Alligator mississippiensis: one gene and its partners. Each later gene encodes a partner of the first gene's protein in a complex. Links are inferred from orthologs where the notes say so. Each region holds a gene or a part of one and is shown in the gene's direction. Other genes may lie near its edges. The genes, in order: CYFIP1, ABI1 and WASF2.

Region 1 (7,713 bases):
ATTGGAGAGAGAATGAAATGTGGATTGGCTCTATAGCTGTTATTGTTGTGCTGATAGCATTCTGGGTGCTCTCGAGGACAAAAAACCAACTGGCAGTGGAGATCAAGGAGGTAACGAAGAGAGGAGTTCTGTATTATGCTCAGTTTAAATGACAACTTCAAGACAACACGGGAAGAAGTCAGAATGGAAAAAAGAGAGCAGCAGAAAGATGGTCATTGAAGACAAGTAAATGAAGTCACTCGGGTATAAAATGTGATGGAGATGAAAGGAATAAGATATAATCTTAGGGGACTCCAAACAAAAATGGAAGGCAGGAGAAATGGAGGTGCCAAGTGACAGAGGGCTCGAGAAATTGGAGGAAGTGTGATCAACAAAGGAGAAAACAAAGGAAAATGGACACTGAGAGAGAGGCTACTGCACAGAGATGCCTGTTGTGCCCCATTTGGTTCCACATTCAATATTTTAAAATTCAGAAAATGAGCAGCGCTTATCCAGATCATACATCCAAGATAAGATTAAAGATAATAGAGAGAGCTCCTTTATTAGATCATAACAAATATATTTCTACACTACAGTGTAAGTCAGCTCTGGATCCCAAAGAGTCATTTTAAGTCTGAGACAAAATAACCAAATAGGTGTTCTAGAAAATAAATTTGAAATTATGTAATTGAAGATCATTGTGGCAGTAATGGCTACAGAGCTAACCCACATTTTATTCACCCCAATCAAGACAGTTTGCTACCTAAGTTTCATTAAGTTAGTTTTATGGTGTGTTTAATATACTAATCTGTTTTTTCAAAATTACTTCCTTTTGTTTTAATTATTGCCACTATTTTGAGCTCCCTGAATGAGTATGTCAGACTTGAGTCTCTGATCAGTTATCTGTATTTTTCCTTCTCTACTTTTTTCCATTTTTTGGAACTTTATACCTGAAAAGGATTCCCTTTCTAGCCCTCTTGCTTCCCTTTGCCAAGCTACAATTTATCTTTTCCAGTGTAGTAAAAAGTAACCACTTCAGTTCAGTTATGAATTGTAATCTGCTGGAAATAGCAAGAGCACGTGGTATTAACTTTTATACATGTTAGAAAAATAAGATGGGATTGGAGATTCTGCTTCATACACTAAGTGAGCAAAGCCCTTAAGCCTATGATTAATTGAAATACATAAGTCTCTTTGACAACACAGCCATTAGTACTTCCCATTTCTCTACTGAGAACAAGTCCTTGGAAACAGAAATAAGTGCATCAATGGAAATGTCTTACTGTATTATTTGTGTATTAGAGTATGGAGAGAGAAAATTAACTTGGGCAAGGAAAGAATGGGAATGTTGAATGAGGAAAGTATTGGTAATTCCCGGGCTAAGCATTTTGAGGGCCAGTATGTAATATTGTATTATTATTTCAGACAGAATAGATATATACATTTGTGTGTGTGTGTGTGTGTGTGTGATTTCTGAAACAATTTAGCTTTATTTCTGCCCCTGGTGTACTACACACTTTCCATGCTGCGAAGAAGGTACAGTTCTTATCCCATGGCCGAACAGTTGAGATCTCTGTTCCTCATCAACATGACCCCTCTCCTCAATTCCATGAAGTGAGAAAGGCACTCCTGTTCTGTGCCTGAAGGTGCTGACCATGTGCTCAATTTTACATGTAGAAAGAGGCCTGTAGAAATAAATGGGATCACTGCAGCACATTGGGCTGACTCCTGAACACTCCACACATTCTGGGCAAGTTGACTCATCTTTTTACAAAATAAGAAGTTTTCTGGAAGAATGAAAATGCAAAGTGAGTGTTATACATGTAAATATAAGCATCAAGTCTGTTAACATAAATGTGAAAAACCCTATGTGGTGGAGTGAGAAACTACTTGCTTCAAAGTGTCAGAAAAATTCACACGGAGGCTTACACTACAGGTAAAGAAGTGGATCTACCAACATTGGCTTGCTCCCTGCACTGTCCTGAGGGTCTGACTTCAGTTTCTGCAGGATGGAGCATTACCTTTGTGCTTAACTTTGTGCACCTGCACAGCCCGATTAAACGGGAAACACTCAATATGTGTACAGCTGAAAAGGTATGCAAGTCTGCAGCACTGGGACCTGCTGCCATGAGTGCTGTGAAGATTTAGGCAAACTTAGTGTCAAGGGGTGGTGGGGAATAGGACACCTGGTACCATTTTTAGGTATACAATTTGATACAAAAACATGCACCACCAGGAGGAATGGCTGTCCCTACCTCCCCAGATTTTATCCCAGAGCTGAAAGCTGCTGATTGTTAAGATGATCTCGTGACTCCTAAATTAAGGGTGCTGAGGGGTGCTGCTTAATATTAGCACTGTTTGCTGTGCAAGCACTTACTCATGAATCACAAACCCAGAGATGTCACATAGAAATCTGGGGCAGGGGCATGTAGGGGGTTGCACTGACACACTTGCATACCCCTTTGATTTCTGCTCCACCCAAAGTTTAAAACCAACTGCCTGGCAGTGGCAGCAGCATTTCTAGTTAGGCAGCGCTGTCAGAGTCACTTGACTTCATGCCTCATTATCCATCTACCTGACCCCTTCCAAATTCTGTATTCCACAGGTGTTAACCTGCCTCTCTTCTTTTCAAGGGTCTGCCTGTTCCACCAAGCACGTTAGCCTTTCTTCAGCAACTCTGCTGTCTGTTAGCTGGTTAGGAAGCTCTTATTTCACAGCCCTGCAGACTGTTTTTAACTCTTTCCAAGGAACTTATCTTTGTTTTTGCTTCCATCTGAAACTGCACAACACAGCTCCAGGCACCCAGCCGATTAGCAAGTCTTCTAGCTTCTTTTAATTGGGGAAAAGGAGGTGTTAGTAGTAGACACCCCTAGAATCATAGAAAATGAGGGTTGGAAGGGACCTCAGAAGGTCAAAGCAGCACCATCCCCAACTAGATCATCCCAGCCAGATCACTCTATCTTCTCCCTGGATGTGTCCCAGCTTGTCAGTTGAGCTTCTAGTTTGTATCTAACTGGAAAAACATGGTTGTTGTGATAGACATAGTTGGGGTGGATCCTACTTTGATTCCTACTCCACTCAAAGTTTTAAACCAGTTAGTTGCCTGTTAGTAGCAGCAGCATTTCTAGGCAGGGAATCAATTGGCTTCATAGCTCATTCATCTAGCTACCCCCTGGACCTGCCCTGGCCGAACAGTGAAGCTTCTAGTTTCTTTTTAACTGGGAGCATTTACAAATTCATGAATGCACCATAATTACAGTGCATTAAGTTTAGTATCTGTGATGACAGATACCAACTTAATGTGCCATATTCAGTGCTAATGCACAGTAGCAGAGATGACTGGTTCTTTAGTGACATTAATGAGCATTAGATTAAATCTACTGTGCAGTGGTACAGGTTGTGTCTGCTGTGCTAATGTGCAGTAGAATGAGTCTCCTGCACATTAAGCATCTTGTGTAGGGGAAAAACAGGACCGGTGGTAAATACCCCCTGGCTGCCCCCTTGACCTGCCCCAGCCTCTGAGTACAGCTGGAGAAACACAGAAACATAGAAAATGAGGGTGGGAAGGGACCTCAAGAGGTCCTCTAGTCCAGTGGTTCTCAACCTTTTTTGTACCAGGACTCATTTGTAAACATTAGTGGCCAGTCCCGACACAGTGGCCCTCACTCCTGACCTGCTGCTCCCCGCCCCCCCGTCCCCAGTGTGTAGGGACGGCTGGCTGGAGCTCTGCCAGCCTGCAAGGGAAAAACCATGGTTTCCCACATTTTTCCCCTAAAAAGAAGAACAATTTTTTAGTTTGTTGATCCCTTTTTAAAGTTTGTTCATGACCCTTTAGTATTTTCTTGCAGCCCACTTTTGGGTCACAACCCACAGGTTGAGAAATGCAGATCTAGTCCGACCTTCTGCTCAAAGCAGGGCTGTCCCCAACTAGATCATCTCAACCAAGGCTTTGTCTACTAAGGTCTTAAAAGCCTCCAAGTCTGGAGAGTCCACCACCTCTTTGGGTCACCTGTTTCAGTGCTTTTCTACCCTCCTCTGGAGGGAGGTTTTTCCTTATCTTGAACCTAGGGTGGCCACCACTGAGGATGTTCTGGTTTTCTGCTACTCTGTCCTCTATTGATATGAAACTGGATGCCTTTATGTCCTCTATTTTTCTTTTGGAGCAATGGAGAGTGCACAGAGAGCGCTAGTGCTCCCCCTGAAACTGGTTGTGCCAGTGCACTTGGTGACTGGAGGCTGGGTCCCCCCCTGCCCCGGTGGCCGCTGGGGGACCCTACCCCCGGTCACACCCCGCTGGTGTCCCCTAGACTCAAGAGGCACAAGCCGCCCATATCCAGAGGTCTTGATGAGAAAAATAGAGGACATAAAGGCGTCCGGTTTTGTATCAATAAAGGACAACCGGACTGTGCCCTATGATGGCCACCCTACTGGGACCTAGCCCTCCCTTGCTGCAAGGTGGGTGTTGCGGCAGGCGTGGCCATGCCCCTCCCCACGTGCAGCCCCTAGACCCCCGGTGGGTCAGCCCGCCCGGCCTGGCCCGTGCTCAGCCGCAGCCGCCGCCCCCTGCGGCACGCTTGGAGACAGCAGGGCCGGCTGGGGGCCGGTTTGAGCGTAGGAAGCTGGAGCCGAGGGGGCCGGGCCCGCGCTGCCGGGGCCACCCCCCAGCTCCTGCCGGGGAAGGGAGGCGGGGCCGGAGCCGCAGGAAGGGTGTTTCCCTGCGCAGCTCCCAGCTCCAGTGACTCAGGCAGGAAACTCCCGGCCCAGCGCAGCGGCGGCGATCCCCAGGGCGGCGGCTGCACCCCGCGCTGCCGCGGACGGGTGAGCACCGGGCAGCGCCTCGCCTGCCCCTCGCTGCTCCCGCGGGCCGGGGGGCGGCCGGGGGCTCCTGCCTCTCCTCCAGCCCCCTTGTGACGTGCTGCCCGCGGGCTTCGGGCCCGGGGCTTCCCCTGCGCGCAAGAAGCCGCGGGGGTTCCGGCTGAGGGGAGGGAGGTGCCGGACCTGGGCAGGCTAAAGCCTGGGCACCTCCTGACTGGCAGGGGCTTGGCCTAGGCGGCCCTCAGCGCCTGCGTTTGGCTGCTTGGAGGCAAGGTCTCCTGCGTTTCTGAGCCCCACATATGGTACAGGGGCAAAGGGAGCGCATGCCCTGCCTGGCAAGGGGCACATAGGGAAGTAAGGCTGGAAGAGACTTCCAGAGGCGAGGGATCTCCAGAGGCATAGGGGATATGTGGGGGTGGAGGCCTGAGAGCGCTGGTGCCCCCCTGACAGCGCTCTGGCTGGTAGGGGGGCATGGAGAGTGCTAGTGCCCCCCCCCTCCCCAAATTGGCTCCGCTAGCATGTTTGGTGACTGGCTGCTGGGTCATTGTATGGCTGGCTGTGCCCTGCTGGCCCCCCCCTACCCCCCCCAGACTCAGGAGGCATCAGTCACCCATATGCAGGGGTCCTCTACTCCAGTGCTTCTTACTCTTTTTTGGACCAGGACCCATTTGCAAACATTGATGGCTTGTCCTGGTCCAGTGCCTCTCACTTCTGACCCACTGCCCACCACCCACAGTGTGTGGGGTGGGGTTAGGTGTGTGTGGAGCACAGGGGCCCCCAAGCAGCCCCTTGCAGGCTGGAACTCTGCCAGACTACAAGGAAAAAGCCAGGGTTGTGACCCACAGTTGGAGAAACACTGATCTAGTCCAGCCTTGTGCTCCAGGCAGGATTGTCCTGATTAAACCATGCCAGCCAAGGGCTGGCCCATCTGCTCTTGGACAGTTTCTAAGGATGAAGATCCCACTGTTTCTCTAAGTTGCCTGTTCCAGGTTGTCAGTGCCTCTCAAATGCGGAGGAGAATTGACACCCGTTCCCCCCCCCCCCCCAACTGTGAGGCTTGGGTTGGACTTGCTGTTGCAAAGGGGAGGCCCGTGGCTGTGGCAAAAGAAAGCACCCTTGGAACAACAGTTTGAAGGAAACTGGTTCCTTTCCAGCTCCACTAGTATTGTCTGTGAGGAGCAGGGCAGGATAGAAAGGAAGATATCAGCTTCCAGTAGACATCCTGGTGACCTGGTGGTGTTTCATCCTACTGCCTTGGCAGGACTTTCTGAAGGCAAATGGATATCTGGCTGTTTAGAAGGCCCTTCCCAACTGCAAACAGAAGGCTTAAATTTACACAGCTGATGTTTTCTAATACAATTCCCCAGCTGTTTTGGTTTGTAAGCTTTGTAGTGGGTTTGAAGAGCAAATCACACACTGCAAGCAGATCAGTATTTGTGACATCCCGCAAGCTGGTTTTGAGTGGTGACTGGATTGGTTGTCCAGAAGGGAAGTTCCTTAACAGGGATGTAAAAAAATACATTGTTAGAAGCTTTGAAATTCCTCTAGAATCATAAGACTTGTAGTTGCTGACTGGAGGGTCTCGTCACCATCACAGGTATTGCACTGCACGTGCTGCAACTTTCTAGAATTGAAATGAGGTCTAGTGAATGTTGATGCCTGCATCATTGTGAGTTTGTGTACTTTTGAAACTGGAAGGTAGAATAATATACCCTGCTGAAGCTTCCTGCTTTCTGGTCAGTATTTTCATATTCACAATCTGTTGTACTTAGATTGAATAGCTGTGATTTATATTGTTTTGTGAACCTGCATGATTAGCCCCAGTTTCATCCCTTTTCAAAAACTGTGTTGGGATCTACATATAATGTTTCGGCTGGCCTCTTCTACATGGCTTTGTTGTTTTTTTGTGTTTTTTTTCAAGTGTTGCTTCATGTCATTTGCTTATGCAGTTCAGCTGTTTTAAATAGACTGTTCCTGTAAGTGACAGAAAGTGGGAACAACTTAAAATCAAATTTTAGAATGGCGGGGAAGGGGAGACAGGCTAACTTTTTTTCCTTTTTTCCTGTCAAATGAGAGAAATCTTATGTTTTGCGTGCTGCAGACTTAAAGATCAAAGACTTGGTATAAAGTGGAGACTTTCTCAGGCTTACTTATTTAAAGAACAAAGGGCTAATGAAATTCCTGTAAAGGAATGGGACTTCATGAATTCCTCTGTTGTCTGAAAATACAAAATACATTGCAATTTTTTAAATTTAGGGTACTAGATATTGAGAAATGTATTGAAATAACTAAGACCATCAAAAAATTGAGCTTCAAACCTTGACTTATAACAAGATTACCATATTTCACGGTGCATATCCTGGATATAACTCTTGGGTTTATTCAGGTTGTAGGACTGGTTTTACTTGTAACTCCAGAGTTTACAGCTGTTTACAGCTGTCAAAAATGTAGTTGATTTTAGTAGTAATTTTTACCTTGACTTATTAAAAAGTGTTTTCTCTAACATACGTTATAGAATCATTACAACCACTGCAGAAATCATTCATAAGTTTTTGTATGTACTATTTGGATCTTATCACTGCTTTTCCAGGTATCTGTACATAAGTATATAAGTATACATATCTGTACGTAAGTAGAAAGTATAGTAGACGAGTTTCTCTCTTCAGGAAGCTCAGTATTTTAAAGATGTCTGGATGCTGTAAACTATGCTTAGAAGTGGAGTGGCGGTATGTGTCTATGTTGTACATACAGCTGAATGGTATGTGTGCCCCCTCCGGTATTGGGTTCCACCAGGGCCAGCCACTGAGCTAACAAGAAGTAAAGTGAGAGCAAAGGAAAAGATGCAACCAGAGAGATTTTTTTTAAAGTTATCTGCATGCTAATTTAGTTCATTAGAGCTTCCTGCTTCTTTTGCCCTTG
Region 2 (7,210 bases), on another chromosome or scaffold:
TGCCTTAGACCTGAGCAGGAAGGTCATGAGGCTGCTTCTGTCCATATTTGGGTGACTCAGCAGAATACTGACCCTTTTTTTCCCCTCACAACAAACCACCTGTCCCCTTTCTCAAGCACTATCTTCATCTTGTGATTTCGTCCTTCCTTGCAACTGGCATTTTGAAGGGCATTTTGGCAGTGAGTGCAAAACAGAAACCAAGAGGAGTGACCATGAGCTGGGAGAGGAAGGGATTTAAGAGCATCTATGATGTAAGAAAAATTATGGAGCTATTAGAGAAGAGGGGACCTCAGACTCAGCCAGGAAAGATGAAAGGTTGAGGGGAGGGAGGAACAAAGTGGCAAACAAGAGGCAGGGAGTCCCGCAGAACAAAGAAGAGGAGAGAACTGAAATTGAAAGGACAGAACAGGAGGGAGAGAAAGGAGAAGCTTGGTGGTTAGAGCATTTATAGGGAGGAAATGGGATAAAAGAAGATTGGAGCGTAGAGGGAGGGAGAGGGGAGAGAAATGGTGAAGTGGGGCGGAGAAAAGGATTGAGAGTGAAGGCATAAGCCATAGATGAAAATGCATTACGGGAGAAAGATCAAGTCAAAGTACCATAGAACTATTTATTTTTGTGCCTCTTCTATCTTTGTACATTCTCAAGATAGCAATGTTTTGTTTGATTATTTTGTGCTCTCCAATGGCTAATGCTGCCTAGCAGTGACTGGCTTGAGTGTGCTTCCTCTGCCATCACAAAACACTCCTGCTGCCTAGCAACAAACAGTTTGTGTGGAAGCCTTGTCCAGTATACAAGGCACCGGTTTTTAAGTCAGGCAGATCCCAGGAACAGCGGGTTCACAGGAGCATGGTGTGTGAGGGCACCTCTTGGAAAAAGATACTCGTATTCTCAAATCTTGGCACTCACGAAAAAACCCTCCAGCTCTTATAGTTGTGAAGAAAACCTCAAATATATATGTCTTGTAGGGCTCTCTGCATGAGCTGAGAGACGTGGGAATTGCCCCATTCAGTTCAGTGAGGTGTTAACTCAGGGATGATAAAAATAAGCATGATATCAACAAAATATTAATTACATTGGTAATTTCATTCCTTGTACAAGGCTATATTTACACGAGATAAACTGTACCCAACAAACCTAAGACAGAGGTAGGCAACCCCTGGCATGGGTGCAAGAGCTTGGCATGTGAAAGCATTTTACTTGGCACACAAAGTTTGGGGCAGGCAGTGGGGAAAGGGCTGGGGCTCCACTGTCACAACAATTGGGCCCCTTGTGGCTCCCCTACCATCTGCCCTAGCATGTGAACATTTTACAAGTTGAGGTTGTGGGTGCTTTTGGCACTCTGCCCAAAAAACATTGCTGATCCCTGGTTTAAAATGCAAGTATAAATGAAAATAATTCTACTGATATAATTTTCTGGTCAATCTTATTCAGGTATGAAAGTGCCTGAAGTGCCCTTTTTTGGTTGTACTAGTCTCCCCTGAGAAAGGGATAAATAATAATAATAATAAGCCACTCTTGTACCAGCATAAGAGTGTTCACTTTGGATACTGGGATAGAGGTTATATGTGTAATCGGTATGGTTGATAAAACTTTCCAGTACAGGATGATCCTAAGAAAGAAGACCAAGGGTTGTGGATCTACCCAAATTACTGAGTAAATGTTCACTTTGTTGCCATTTGTGAGGCTTCTTCTTAACCCAGGAGGAACCAAGCCCCAAAACAGGGGTGGCCAAACTGCAGCACACATGCCGCAAGTGGCACTGGCAGCCTTTTTGTGGCACATGGCAGACTGAGGAGGGGGTAGGCAGCAGCATGGGAGCAGATCAGTCAAGAAGCAGGAAGGAGAGTAGCAGATGGGACTGGGCAGGGGATTAGAGTAGTACTTAGGGAGGCTGCAAGGCTTAACTTGTGGTAGGTCTGTTAAAAAGGTTGGCCCCACTGCCTCAAAATGTGGCTGTGTTTATGGATGCCTTTAAATCCCAGCCAAAGGGAGCCCATGCATAAGAAGCCAAGTTAGAGTGATGCAGCAGCATATTTAAGCATCTACAAAATCTGCTGTGTGCAGGATGTCATCTCAACTTCTCCCTGGAATAGAACTTATTTTTGTAGGTAGATCTTGAATAGGACCACAGCTATTCTTCTCCTGCAGTCAAGAGAGGTGTGCTGTTTTCAAATCATCTGTTGCCTTGCTGTGCTTGACCAATGCTTGAACAATCATTTAACCTTTGCATGGATAGGGAAAACAAAAGTAAGCCGCTATTAACAGCAAGTATCAGCTAGGTGGCGCTGCTACATATGACCTTTCAAGTTCTGTTTCTTGTTCCAGTAAAGTTTTGATTCTTGTGCAGACACCAGGAGGAGGTTGCCTGTTTGGATTATACAAAGTATTTGGTGTAGAGGCAGTTTGTAGAGAAAGGGAACCATGAAAGCAGCAGGAGAATTTGCTGCCTACTACAGCTCTGATTAGTGTAAGATCCTGAGGCAGAGTTGTCCCCTTAAGAACTTTATCATTTTCAAAACAAGCACCATTCATAATACAGCAATTAATACAAAAACATAAAATGTGATAATTAAATCCTTGTGCTAGTGCATGTACACAAGAAGACATGTTCAGCAAGTTTAATTAATGCTTTAAAATGTGTTTCTTACATCAACCAAAGCTGGAGAACGCCATGTCTGCTCATCACATGTCCCTTAGTTGCATTATTCTGTAGAGGCTTCCTCTCTGGCTCTTGAGTATGCTCATCCAAGTCCACAGGTGTGACATTTCCAATGATAATTGCAAAGAAAAGAAAATCAGTTTCTGGACCTTCCTAGATCACTTGTTATGAACTTTCTGTGTTGGCTGACTCAGACCTTATAGCACCCCCTTTCTGGTGATGAACACAAAGTCAGGTAAGATGCAAATAAGACAGATGCCTATATGCCTGTTTGAGTTGAGCAGCAATCTGTGGATGTGTCCAGATTAGTGCGGCTGTGCGGAATGTGGCACCACAGACCCATCTGCAGTGCCACATGCTGCACATGCAGACGTTCTCCATGTTGCAATCTTGCAGTGCTACAGGGTTTTTTGACCCCAGGAAATCCTGGAGGTCAAAAACCCCTGTGCCGAAGAGAAGTGGGGTAGTGCATGTGGTGGCAGTGCACACCACCCAAAACCAGAGCCTGGCACAGGCCTGGGGCAAGTAGCAGTGGCACAAGGTGGCTGTTTCTTGTCCCCGGGGAACCAAACGTCTGTCCTCTTCTGGACGCAGCCCCTTATTCTAGTTTTGCCACTGCAGCTCCTGGCTGAGATGTGCACACAATTATAAGAAAGCCTGATGTCAGGGGCAATGCGTAGGGGGTGCATATGCACCCCCTGAGTGCTGGTGCACCCTGTCAGGCTGCGCTCCCTGTTTAGCCGACAGGCAGGGGGGCAGGCAGTCAGTGGGATTGGCTGCTGGGGGACTCCCTTCCCCTCCCAGTCACTGACTCAAGAGGCACCAGTCACCCGTGCCTGATGCTATCACACAACTCAGTAAAAGTGGCCTGAACCCATACTCTGCCCCAGAAAAGATACTGAAGAAGTGTCTCTCTTCAGCCTCCTCCTCTTCTGGTGGCCCGAGTGCTCTGGTTCATTCCCACAAGGACCACAGCCCCCACCAGGTTTTCCTCCTGGGTTTCTCACAGCACTTTGAATGGGGGAGCAGTGCTTGCTGGAAGAACCAAAGAGGATGGGATAAGAAAGACAAGGTTCTTTGAGTAGATGCAATATCTTTTATTAGACCAACTGAGTAGTTGGAAAAAAGTTCTTGCCAAGCTTTTGGGTGTTGTCACCCTTTGACTGAGCCCGAAAGCTTGCCAAGAACTTTTTTCCAACTACTCAGTTGGTCAAATAAAAGAGATCACATCTACCCAAATAACCTTGCTTACCTGTGTCCTTAGACCAACATGGCTACAACCAAAAACCCAGCAACAGGGATGAGAAAGAAGCATCCCGAAAACTGCTTGGGCTCGGGCAGCGCTCGCTGGGGAGCCGCCACCCAGGCACTCAGCGCGGTAGCAGCCGAGACGCGGCGCGGGCAGGGGAGTCTCCCATGCAGACCCGGTGGTAAAGACAAACGCAGGAGGCGGCGGAGGCAATCCTCCTCCTACGCATGCGCACAGAGGCGAGCGCCGAGGCCTACATTTCCCAGGCTGCCACACAGCGGGTGGGTGGGGCAGTCTCCCACAATGCCCTCTGGGCGGGTGGCCGAGGCGGCGGCGTTGCCGCTGCTGTCTCTTTAAGGCGGGGGAAGCGATGCGGAGCGGTGGAAAATGGCAGAGCTGCAGATGCTGTTAGAGGAGGAGATCCCGGTGGGCAAGCGCGCGCTGCTCGAGAGCTACCAGAACCTCACGCGCGTTGCCGACTACTGCGAGAACAACTACATCCAGGTGCGGCCGCCGGCGGGGCCGGGCCGGGCCGGGCCGGGGCGGGTGGCAGCCCGAGCCCAAGCCGCGCCGGGCAGGGCAGGAAGTGGGCGCCGCGGCGGCAGGAGCAGGGAGCGGTGCAGCCGGGCAGGGCCCCCGCCGCAGCCCGGGGCTTTTCTCCCCTGAGGTTTTCTGCTGAACTTCATCCCAGTCTCCCGGGCGGAGGGTGGGGGCGGGCGGGCCGCGGCGCCCGGAGGGTGTGTCCGCTTCCCCCGGGCTTGTTTGTTGTGAGTCACGTCGCGCCTCCCGCCCTGGGGCCTGCCTGCGTGTGCGTGTGTGTGTCGGGCGGCACATGCAGCTCAGGAAGGGAAGGGCGCGCCCAGCTGCCAGGCTCTGCTCTCCGCGGGACCCACACCCACACCCCGTCAGTCAGTCAGGCGCACACTGCCCCTGCTCCGCTGCCCCCCCACGCACACCCTGTCACAGTCGCACCCCACCTGCCCACTGTGAGGGACTTCCGCGAGGCAGGAGTGCCCGAGCCCCCCACACCTTGGCAGTGTGTGTGGAGGTGTGTAAGCATGTGCGCTCACAGACATGCTTTGGGGACCGCTGGGGCTGAAAGGACATGCTCGTCCCAGGTGTGCGTGCAGGGGCGTTGTGTGGCAGGGTGGGAGGCAGTGCTTGCTGCTGCTGTGGCGCCCCATCCGGAGGGCAATGGATGCTTGGGCCTGTCACTTCTGTGAGGTGCGGCCTGTTGTTCCCACTGCAGGGTGCTTGGGCCTCAGACTGCTCTGGTGTCCCCTGTTGCTGGGACAGCCCCAGGTTCCACAGCCTGCTACCGGTGGCTTCCTAGTGACCCAGTTCCCTGCGCCTCTGTCTGAGGCTCCTCTGTGGGTGCTGCTTTAAGGACACTTTAATTTAAACTGTTTGCAAAGCTTTCATTTGATCTCTTTGCTTCCGAATCCAGTCTTCCATCCACTGTGCCTCTTGTACATTCCCCAAAGAACTCAGCTGTTCTCCTCCTCCTCCCTCCCTCCCCCCCCCGGGAAAAATGATATAGAGAAAAGGAAGCTGAACTATATGCCATGAGTTGTCTTTCAGATAAGCCTTTCAAATGTAACGTGTCCCCAGTTGGGTGTGCTGTACCAAAGCTCAATACAGTTTTTAATACTTCCAAGTTATTTGGTATCCATCTGCAGCTAGCTGGTTATCCTTCTTTTCATGGAGCACCACACTTGAAAAGGAACCACAATGTTTCTTTAAGGAAATTGCTTCTGAAAATACAAAGTAATCATTTTGACACTTTAGATTGAAACTGCACTAGGAAATCAGAATTTGCATAGGGAAAGGTTGACATCTGTCTGAGTGGGTGGCAACACAGTTTAAACTTTTTGTTTTGTTCTTGGGAGTTACTTGCTCCACCCGAAAAAATCTGCTGATGCAAATGCTTTTAAAAGGTGAGGTTGCATTTGGTTTTACTCATGGGAAATATGACAAACACATGAACATAGTAATTGCAGCTCATGTTTTGACCTGTCTGACTCTTCTTTCTATTTGAGAAAAGTTGCAAAGAATCTGTTTGGCACTGTGTTCATTTAAAATGATCAGAATCATAAACCTTACTAATGTTTTTAAAAGAAATGAATCCCATTAGTCATTTGAAAGTCACATAACCAGCAACCACTTGAGAATCAAAACCTGCTGTGTACTTGACAGCCTGTCTGCAAGTGGCTGTATTTTCCTTTTTTGGAAAGAATCTGACATGCTAAAATGCAGAGTCAGGACTTACGCAGTAGTCTCATGGGGTTTATATCTAGTTTGCATTGTGTGTAGGTTTAATCAAATTTAGAAAAAGTGTATTGATGATGAGAGAGATATTATTTTTGGTAAGGTAAGGCTTGAATAAAGCCATCTGTTCTACTGTTACAGAGGATTGACTGTAGTAGTGGCAGTGTCCTAGATGGCACTGCCACAGGATTAGAGGATACAAGGCCAGTGTAGGGTGATGAGAATGAGTAGGTGGGATCAAAACGTGGTGTTTATACTGAGTATCTTTGATCGGACAAGTCAGTCAGTATTTTTAACATCTAGGTTGGCTATGGCACCCCATTTGTCTTTATCGTGGGAAGAGGCAGTCAAAGCAGAACAAGGCAAGAGAAGCTATAGACGAAGTACAGCATTAAATGTAGGATGTCATCATCTGGGTCCCTACTTAAGTGACTCAAACCAGGCTCTGTGAGGTCTCTGACAGAAATGTGACTACTGGTGCATACGCTCTGTCTTTCAGATCTAAACAGCAATATGCTGTTCTCATTGCAGGTGTTACTCTGTTGCCACCACCTGTGCTTTGTGAAGTTGAAACTAAATGGATTTTGTTTGACATTTTTGATCAAACCACACAAATGTTTGTTGTAAACACATCTGGTTACTGTTTTTTTGTATTTGGTATCTAGCTGTCTTTACCTGGGCAAGACTTAGTTTTATTAAAGATAAGACTTAAAAGCAATAATCTTAAAAGATTGATTTCCCTCCCCTGAGAGAACTTTAGAAGTATCTGTATTCAAAATATATGAAATATATATATATGAATATATATCAGTCTGAAAAGATGAAACTTAAATCATCTTTCTTGTCCTTTCTTTTCTTTGTTCCTACTCTGCCCCCAGCAACTGACTGATCTCTGGATGCCAGTGTTCAAAGGAACTGGGAAGCAGTTTACGGTTACCATGTACTGTGCAACAAACAATACCAAATCAGAATTCCAGGTAGTAGGGTATCTTGTCTGCCAAGCCATTCATGTTCTGAAAGTCTGTCTAATAAAA
Region 3 (7,725 bases), on another chromosome or scaffold:
GGAGATGCTGCTCGATGGGCTGACATTGCTCGTGCAGTAGCAGGGCTCCGAGGTCACCGGCGGAGACATAAAGTGCAAGAGGATTTTTATTTTTCGGTATAAGCTGGCAGAGCCCGGGCGTCCGGGTTGCGAGAGCCTCTCGAGATGCTCTGCCGTGATTTTGCCAGCACCGACCCCAGTAACCTGCTGCTAAATAAGTAAGCCCAGGTGCCACTGGGGGCGGGAGGATGCGCGTCAGCTGCAGGAAGGAATGAAATGCGCCAGCGAGAGCCATGAACCGCACAAATTGCGCTCTGCCCAGCAGTGCAGAAGCCTGGCAAGGATCCCATCGCACACCGCGGACACAGAGACCCTTTCGGCTGCTGCAATAAAAACTCCCTGAGTTGGTTTCTGGGGTGGACCATGCAAAATAAGACCATGTCTTTATTGCCCACTGCATCAGTGCCACCCAAACTGGCCGTGCCAGCCCGCTTCTTGCACTCGGTGGCGGGGGGCCAAATCCTGCCTGCCTCTTAGCACCGCCTCACCCTTGTCCCTGGCTGCAGATGCAAAATATCTCGGAGGCGACAGCCAGGTTTTGTCTCCTCTGGGCAAGTTCCCCCTTCCCACGGGGGCGGGAGCCGGGAGGAAGGGTGGCGTCGGAGTTTCGTTTTTTCTGAGATACCGTTAACTAGTGAGCAAAGGTTGCAGTGTCTCCATGGAGACAAGACAGTGAGCGAGACGGCGTGTGTGTGGATCTAAGGTTAGCGCTGATTAGTAAATGTCAGCAGCACCGCTGCGTTCCCGCAAGTGCCCTCCACCAGCGCCAGCGCCGGCCTGGGCGCCCGGCGGCACGGGCAAAGCAGCGAGCCAGGCTGGGGGCGAGGGCACCTCCGTGCCCACGGGGAACCGGGATCCCGCTGACCCCTGGGCAGTGCTGGCGTTGTCACTTTGCCATCGTGACCGCTGCCAGCCCAGGTCTCCAGCCCCCCCGAGGTTTATCGCGGCCCCTCGCTGCGCCCCGTGCAAGCATCAATCGAAGGGGGAGACTGGGGTGCAAGATGCGTGCTCCTTGGCCCTTGGCCTGGCCGCTGGGCTTGGGGTGCCATGCTGATCAGGCTCCGGCAGAAGATCTCGAGGATGACAAACCGGAGCGCTCTGCAAAACAGAAAAGCGCAGCTGTCTCCGTCTTGCGGAGAGAGAAACGGCGACTCGGAGAGATAAAGGGGTTTGTGGTTAGGACTGACGTGATGCCAGTCGCTGTCGCAGCTCGGCGCCTGGATCAAACCTCGCTGCTCCCAGCTCCCAGCCCTGCTCTGTCACCACGAGGCTACGTGGCCTCCCTACAAAACAGGTCATTTCGGGGTCCTGGGGGCTTCGGTCGCTGAGTTGAGCCCCTTTTGAAGAACAGGCCCGTTTTCGTGTCCATAAAGTGCTGACGGCGTGACGAGCCAGCGCGTCGCAAACCTCCCTTGCAGCTTATCAGAATGAGAAATGTAAGCAGAGCTCTCCTCCACGCAGCACAAGTGAGCAGCTGGCTGGGAAAACCAAGGGACCGCTGAAGCTCACAGGCAGGATTTCACGTCCGCCCCCAACACACAGCACTGCACCACCGCTCTGTCTTCACAAAGCAGATCAATCAGCTCGACGGGCTGGCTTTACTTGATGCTCTTCGGTCCCCGCATCCCTTCAGCTTTGGTCCGGTTCGGAGGCCTGCACGTGAACAAGTGCTCGGCCCCGGAGGCGTTGCTCTAATGTCGAGGCCAGGTGCAAATCCCTGCCCGTTGCCTCCGTTTCCCAAAGCCAGTCGCAATCTGCGGGTGCCTCTCGGTCGGAGGGTGCGCTGCTCCGTGCACCCCTCCTCAGGCAGGGCAACCGTGCAGTCCCAGGTGAGACGGCAGCACGTACCGAGCCTGCCCGGGGATTAGCAATGCAGCGGCACAGGCTCCAACGCAGGCTGGACAAACCTGTCCGAAATCCTGGGTACGTGCTGGGCTACAGATGAGCAAGGAGGCTTTTAGGCCCCCCGTTCCTAGAGACCCCCCGTGTTATGTGGGCAGCGGGGATGTACTCGGATGTGCTGCAATACCCACGCGGTTGTTAGCACCGAAGCAGTTGCCTATCGACACACGCTGCCGTTATGCTGCAGTGCCGTGAAGAGATCACCCTGTGCAGCTCCGAGCACATGGTCAGCTCCACGCAGAGTTGCAGTGCGATGGCCCAGTGAGCCCTCCCGAGTCCAGATGGGCAGTGGCTTGATCTTACTTAGCTCCCCGAGATCAAGCATCTTATTTCCAGAAGGCCTCGTTCGGTCTGCTGGCCCCCTTCGGTGGTCGGCACTAAGATTTTGACAGGCACAACCCACGGGCTTAACGTAATGAGATTGCAGCGCTGGGGAAGGATAGAAAAAAGGAGCATAAGCTCAGGACTGAAGTTCACCATGAAAGCAGCGTGTCATGGAAAAGCCTCCATCATCTCCCCCCCCCCCGCCCACGCCAGCTGCTCAGCTAGTCACCTTGGCGGTCTGCAGGGCAGCGCAGCCAGAGGATCATTTACAGGCAGAAAATACAGAAAGGCAATTGGCAGGTGATGAGATCCTTTCCAGGAGAGAAATAAGTGTCAGGGGGCAGCGCGGCTGCCTGGGATACTGCAGCACAGCACATATTCAGGAGGGCTAAACTGAGACACGTGTGCGTGCAAGCACCCCCCCCCCCCCCGAGATAAAGGTTGCAGAGCAGACACAGATTAGGTGGCTCCCTTGAGGCTATGACACCTAGAGAGAGAAGCAAATCCTCTTCGAGTGAACTGGCAGCGAGGAAAACCTGGAGTCCAAAACCTCCAGCACCTTCCCGTTGGGGCAGAGGCTACGCCTTGCGGCGGTGCGAGCTTGTTAGCACCGCAGAGGTGCGGGGCACCGGGCAAGGGGCTTCTCACGGGGAGAGCGTAGATCCGTTGCTCTCAACTTCGTCCCGGCGTAGACTCAAGGTCCCCTGGGAAAATGCCAGCTCTTCGCTTTCACTGTTTTTTTGGACTACAGAAAAATAACACGAGCATTTTTTTTTTTCCCTGTGGCAAAGCACTCGGAAAGACCCCAGCTGCGGATTCCTATTTGAAACCTCTGGGTTTTTCTCCTGAATCGCTAACCGGGCAGTGGCACCCCGGGGAGGATCTCAGGGCACCCTGCTTGAGAATCCCTGGTGCTGATGGGAGGAGCTCCTGGAGGGGTGGCGCCAAGTAATTAGTCCTGATTATTTCAAGATGTGAGCTAAAGGCAGGCCCCAGGGAAGGGGGGGGGGGAGATGGGATGCGGTCAGGGAGCACTGGCAGATTGGCAGGTGCTGATTAAGACGAGCGTGACCTTCAGCCCTGGAGATGCTCGCTGACCCAGTTGCTGCGGCGTTCAGCTGCCGAGCCGTCCTTTGTTGGCCTTTGCTGTGGCAGCCCCGCGAGGTGCTGCGCTGCGGGAGGGGAGACGGAGAGCTGCGCGGGCCTTGCACGTGGCTCGTGTGGCAGGTGTGTCGTCTGCGGGCGCCGGGGGAGTCCAGGAGGGTCCCTGGGCTGTTCTCTTTGTGCTGTGCGCAAAGTGGGGCGAGGACGAGCTGCTTTCCCCACCCCACCCCGCTCCCGTCCCACGTCCCCAGCGCAGCCAGCTTCCCGTGGCACGTGGAAACGCAAGGGGGAAGTAGGTGGGCTGTGGTGCGCTCTAGCTAGTGCCTAATCCAGCTCCAGCTGGCACAGTTTAGAGCGACCCCCAGGCTGCTCTAACTTTCCCTAAGGCCGGGAGGGAATCGGGGAGTTTGCTCCTACGCGTGTGCCATTGGTGCAAAGGGGAGCGCCTGCACTGCTCTCGCCTGCCGCGCGTCCCTGCAGCATTGCAAAGGGCATATATTGGGATTTGGGGGGGGACCCCAAATGTAGGGTGGCACTTAGTGAATTAATTATAATGCATTTGCAAGGGCACTCCATCCCTCGTGGGCTGAGCAGATGGAGGCCTCTGGCTCGTGCTGCTGATGTGACTTGTGCCCATTTCCTTGCCCTGCTAGTTGTGCCTCTTAATCCGGAAGTGGCAGGCAGGCCAGGCTGCGGCACTGCAGGGGTTAAACAGGCACCGCCCGCCTCTGCTCCGCCCCCTGCCGGAAGGCCCAGCCCCACCCCCGCTCTCGTTTCCATTTGGGCCCTTCCCTCTACTAGTATCCCCCCTCCCCCTTTTCTTTTTCCGAAGTGGACCCTTCCTCAGAGTTCACGAGCCGTGCGGGTAGGACAAGACCAATGCCAAATGAGGGGTGGGTCAGCCCTGGAAATGCCCACCGTTCCCTAAAAAAAAAGAAAAACAAGGCAGCCCAATGGCATCCAAAGAAGACACATAACTATTTCCGTCAAGTGCTAGCCTTGAGTTCCCACCCCAAGCAGCCATGCTTCGCTTCCCCTCCCCTCCCCTCCCCGCGGGTGGTACGTTCCCCCTTGTTTACTCTGTTTGCGTCGCCCGCTTGGGTGCGGCCCCGGTGTTACGCTAGCGTCGTACGCAAGCGGCGCAGCACGGCGGCTTTGACAGGCGGCGCCCAGCAGCCAATGGCATGCGGGGAGAGGCAGGCGGGGAGCCAATGGGGCGGCGCGCCGGCGCCCGGGGAGGCGGGGCGGGGCCGCGCCGGGCCGGGCGGGCGGGAGGGGAGTCGCGGAATGGCGGCCGGCGGGGGCGGCCCGCCCCGGGGGTAGCGGCGGCGGCGGCGGCCGAGACGCGGCTCCAAGCGGGGGTGAGCGAGCGCGCGCGGGAGGGCGAGGGGGGGCAGCCGGGCTCCAGGCCGCTGCCACATAGGGAGCCACGGGCCTGTGGTGGGGGGGCGCTTCCTGCCACATAGTGACCGGGGGACTGGTCCAGGGGGGCTGCCCCCCGCTTATGGGGTTATAGCCCCCCCCTTGGGGTGTTTGCCCCCTCCCCCCCCCTTGGGGTGTGTGGGGCTGCCCCCTCCCCCCCCCTTGGGGTGTGTGCCCCCTCCCCCCCCCTTGGGGTGTGTGGGGCTGCCCCCTCCCCCCCCGTTGGGGTGTGTGGAGTTGCCCTCTCCCCCCCCTTTGGGGTGTATGCCCCCTCCCCCCTCTTGGGGTGTGTGGAGTTGCCCCCTCCCCCCCCTTTGGGGTGTGTGCCCCCTCCCCCCTCTTGGGGTGTGTGGAGTTGCCCCCTCCCCCCCCCTTTGGGGTGTGTGCCCCCTCCCCCCCCCTTTGGGGTGTGTGCCCCCTCCCCCCCCCTTTGGGGTGTGTGCCCCCTCCCCCCCCCTTTGGGGTGTGTGCCCCCTCCCCCCCTTGGGGTGTGTGGGGTGCCACGACAGGTGCGTGGGGCTGTGCTGTGCCCCACCCGCAGCAGTGCCGGGGGCGGGAGAGCGCGTGGTCCCGGCGTGGCAGGGTGGGGCCGAGGACACCTCGCCCTAGGCGGCCCCCCATCCCGGAGGGGCTGCGCGGGGTGCAGCAGGCCCAGGGCAGCCCCGCGCTGACCTCCACACGGGTGTCATCTCCCGCGTGTCCTTGGGCCTGCCCGAAAGCAGCACTCGGAGGACACGAGCCCTGAATCCCTTCGGGCCGGGGGAAGTTGCGGCACTTCCCGGCCCTCGGGCCCTGCTCTGACATCAGGGAAGTTTTCTCAAAGTTTGTGCTGCTGCCTGGGCTGGACGTGTCTCGGTGACATCCTCAGCCCCGCTCGCCCTCCCGCGCAGGGGGGGCGGCTGGCAGTTTTCGATGCCGCTTTAAAATGCCGAGAGCGGGTTTGTTTCCCGGGGTGTTAAAAGTGTTGGTGACCTGCCTGCTGCACGGCGCCCGCTATCCCAGGCATCAGAGGAGATGTTAGCAGCGAGGAGGAGCTTTTAGAAGATGTTTCTGCTGTGGACAGGGCTGTAATTTGTCAAGCCCTTTGTGCTCCTTACGCTTGTATGACATCCTTAAGAGCAGGAAGCCTTGCGAGAGGGGGGAAAAGTTGAAAGTGAAAGACGTGCCGGGGCCAGCGAAGAACAAAGGCCCTGCCTTGCAGTAGAACTGACACGAGAAATGTTACTTAATGGGCAATATTTAAGTGTGCACGCTTGCACAGTATTTGCCAAATGAGGAAGAAAAAGGGCCTAAACGTCTCACACTAGTTTGAAATGCCTGCAGAGCCGGTGCTTATTAAAAGCTGCTCACATGGACGTGTTCAGCGTTAGGATTTTCGGTTCAGCAGAAGTTCTGTGTCGAGCGCTCTGAGCGGGTTTTGTCTTGTATTTAAGTTATCCTTTTCCATTTCGTGTTTTAAACCAATCGAATTTAAACTTCAATGATATCTTTATAGTATGACTTGGAAAATCTGATCAGTTGCAGACTCGCAATCAATGCTTTACCTGGCGAGAGGACTGAGCGGGCCAGATGCTTCTGCAGATTTTATGCTTTTTTTTGAGAGAGAGAGCGAGAGTTTTTGTTGAAAATGTGAGTGGGAAAGCTGGACCTAAGGTGCAGAGGTCAACCTAATCCAGATCCCTGTGTGAGCCACCACTTGGAAGGCAGGACCTGAGTGTGTTGTCAGCAGCAGGGATTGAACCTGGGACCTCTGCATTCAAAAGCATGAGTTTTCTACTATGAGTTGTTTTTATGTGTTGGGGTTTGTTTTTAACTCCAAAGCCTTTGTTCTCCCTGCCAGGACTATAGCAGGCTCATCAACTTTAGGGTTTAACCTAGCCAAAACGAGGGTGCAAGCACCATGCTGAGTGGGTGGAAGCTACGAGAAAATAATCTTCCAGGATGAATGGACTGTACATCTTTCTGAGGCCCTGCTTCACTTTGGTTGGGGGTTTTTTATGTACGTGTGCGCCTCAGAGTAACCAGTGTGCATTACCTATCCTGAAGGGAAGACAGGGCCACCTCAGTTTTACCGCGAGGAAATTCAGCAGCATGCCTTGTCTTGATCATTTTTTAAATTTATCATGCCTGTTGTTAATTATGTGGCTAAGACCGGAGTCTGGATCCACTGGGTCCAGTACCACTTCTACTGGCCAGGGTCTTTCCAAGCACCCGCAGGTGACATGAGCAACACACCCGGCAGTTTCACCACCGCCTTTTCCTTCTGAATCTGGTGAGCGGCAGTGAATGCTTTGTCTGGGATGATGTAGTTGGGCTGGTCTTGCTTGGAGCAGGGGGTTGGACTACATGTGACCTCCTGAGCTCCCTCCCACCCCAAATTTTCTATGATTCAATGAAACTGGTAGAACCCGGGGAAGCTGAGTGGTCCTTAAAACTTCAAGGTGGACCTCCACTCACCATTCGTTTGCCCCTTGCCATGATAAGTTTTTGGTGAACTTCCTAAGCTCAAATTTGTACGGGTGTCCAGAACATTCACGATAATGGAAAACGTGCTAGAATAAGAGCTGAAGAAAAAGGCAAGCGGGCTTTGGGTAGTAGTACTGATGCAGAGTGCAGCAATGTATTTGTAGTGCTGTATTTAAAACAAAACAAAAAACAGTCTTAATAAGCAGTAGACAGCCACAAAACTATTGACGAATTTTTTGGCAAAAGGGCTGAATTAGTAGTAATGTTCTGTTGAGCCAAATTTTATACCCACATCTCTAGGAAATGTATTGTGTGCCAAATAAATACAGAAAGCATATCTTAAAGCTTACAGTTGAGAACACTTTCATGAGTAGTGACTCATTGGTCAGTGGGTCTCATTGAGAAGAAAATCCTTACACGTAATTGCTAACCCAGTTTTCTGGCATATTTTAAGTGTGACTTATTCTT

What was found.
Region 2: CYFIP1 (region 1) and ABI1 share a complex: the UniProt entries of both Homo sapiens proteins name them as parts of the WAVE2 complex. The link is inferred for Alligator mississippiensis from reciprocal best matches to the Homo sapiens genes CYFIP1 and ABI1.
Region 3: CYFIP1 (region 1) and WASF2 share a complex: the UniProt entries of both Homo sapiens proteins name them as parts of the WAVE2 complex. The link is inferred for Alligator mississippiensis from reciprocal best matches to the Homo sapiens genes CYFIP1 and WASF2.

Annotation. Positions count from the first base shown.
Region 1 is NC_081824.1:338,765,689-338,773,401, forward strand, and holds the start of CYFIP1 (cytoplasmic FMR1-interacting protein 1), read left to right. Parts: upstream 1-4,675; 5' UTR 4,676-4,797; intron 4,798-7,713. UniProt on the Homo sapiens protein: Component of the CYFIP1-EIF4E-FMR1 complex which binds to the mRNA cap and mediates translational repression. In the CYFIP1-EIF4E-FMR1 complex this subunit is an adapter between EIF4E and FMR1.
Region 2 is NC_081828.1:189,410,032-189,417,241, reverse strand, and holds the start of ABI1 (abl interactor 1), read left to right. Parts: upstream 1-4,210; 5' UTR 4,211-4,295; coding exon 4,296-4,412; intron 4,413-7,054; exon of another isoform or gene 7,055-7,153; intron 7,154-7,210. UniProt on the Homo sapiens protein: May act in negative regulation of cell growth and transformation by interacting with nonreceptor tyrosine kinases ABL1 and/or ABL2. May play a role in regulation of EGF-induced Erk pathway activation. Involved in cytoskeletal reorganization and EGFR signaling.
Region 3 is NC_081829.1:2,438,304-2,446,028, forward strand, and holds the start of WASF2 (actin-binding protein WASF2), read left to right. Parts: upstream 1-4,636; 5' UTR 4,637-4,730; intron 4,731-7,725. UniProt on the Homo sapiens protein: Downstream effector molecule involved in the transmission of signals from tyrosine kinase receptors and small GTPases to the actin cytoskeleton. Promotes formation of actin filaments. Part of the WAVE complex that regulates lamellipodia formation.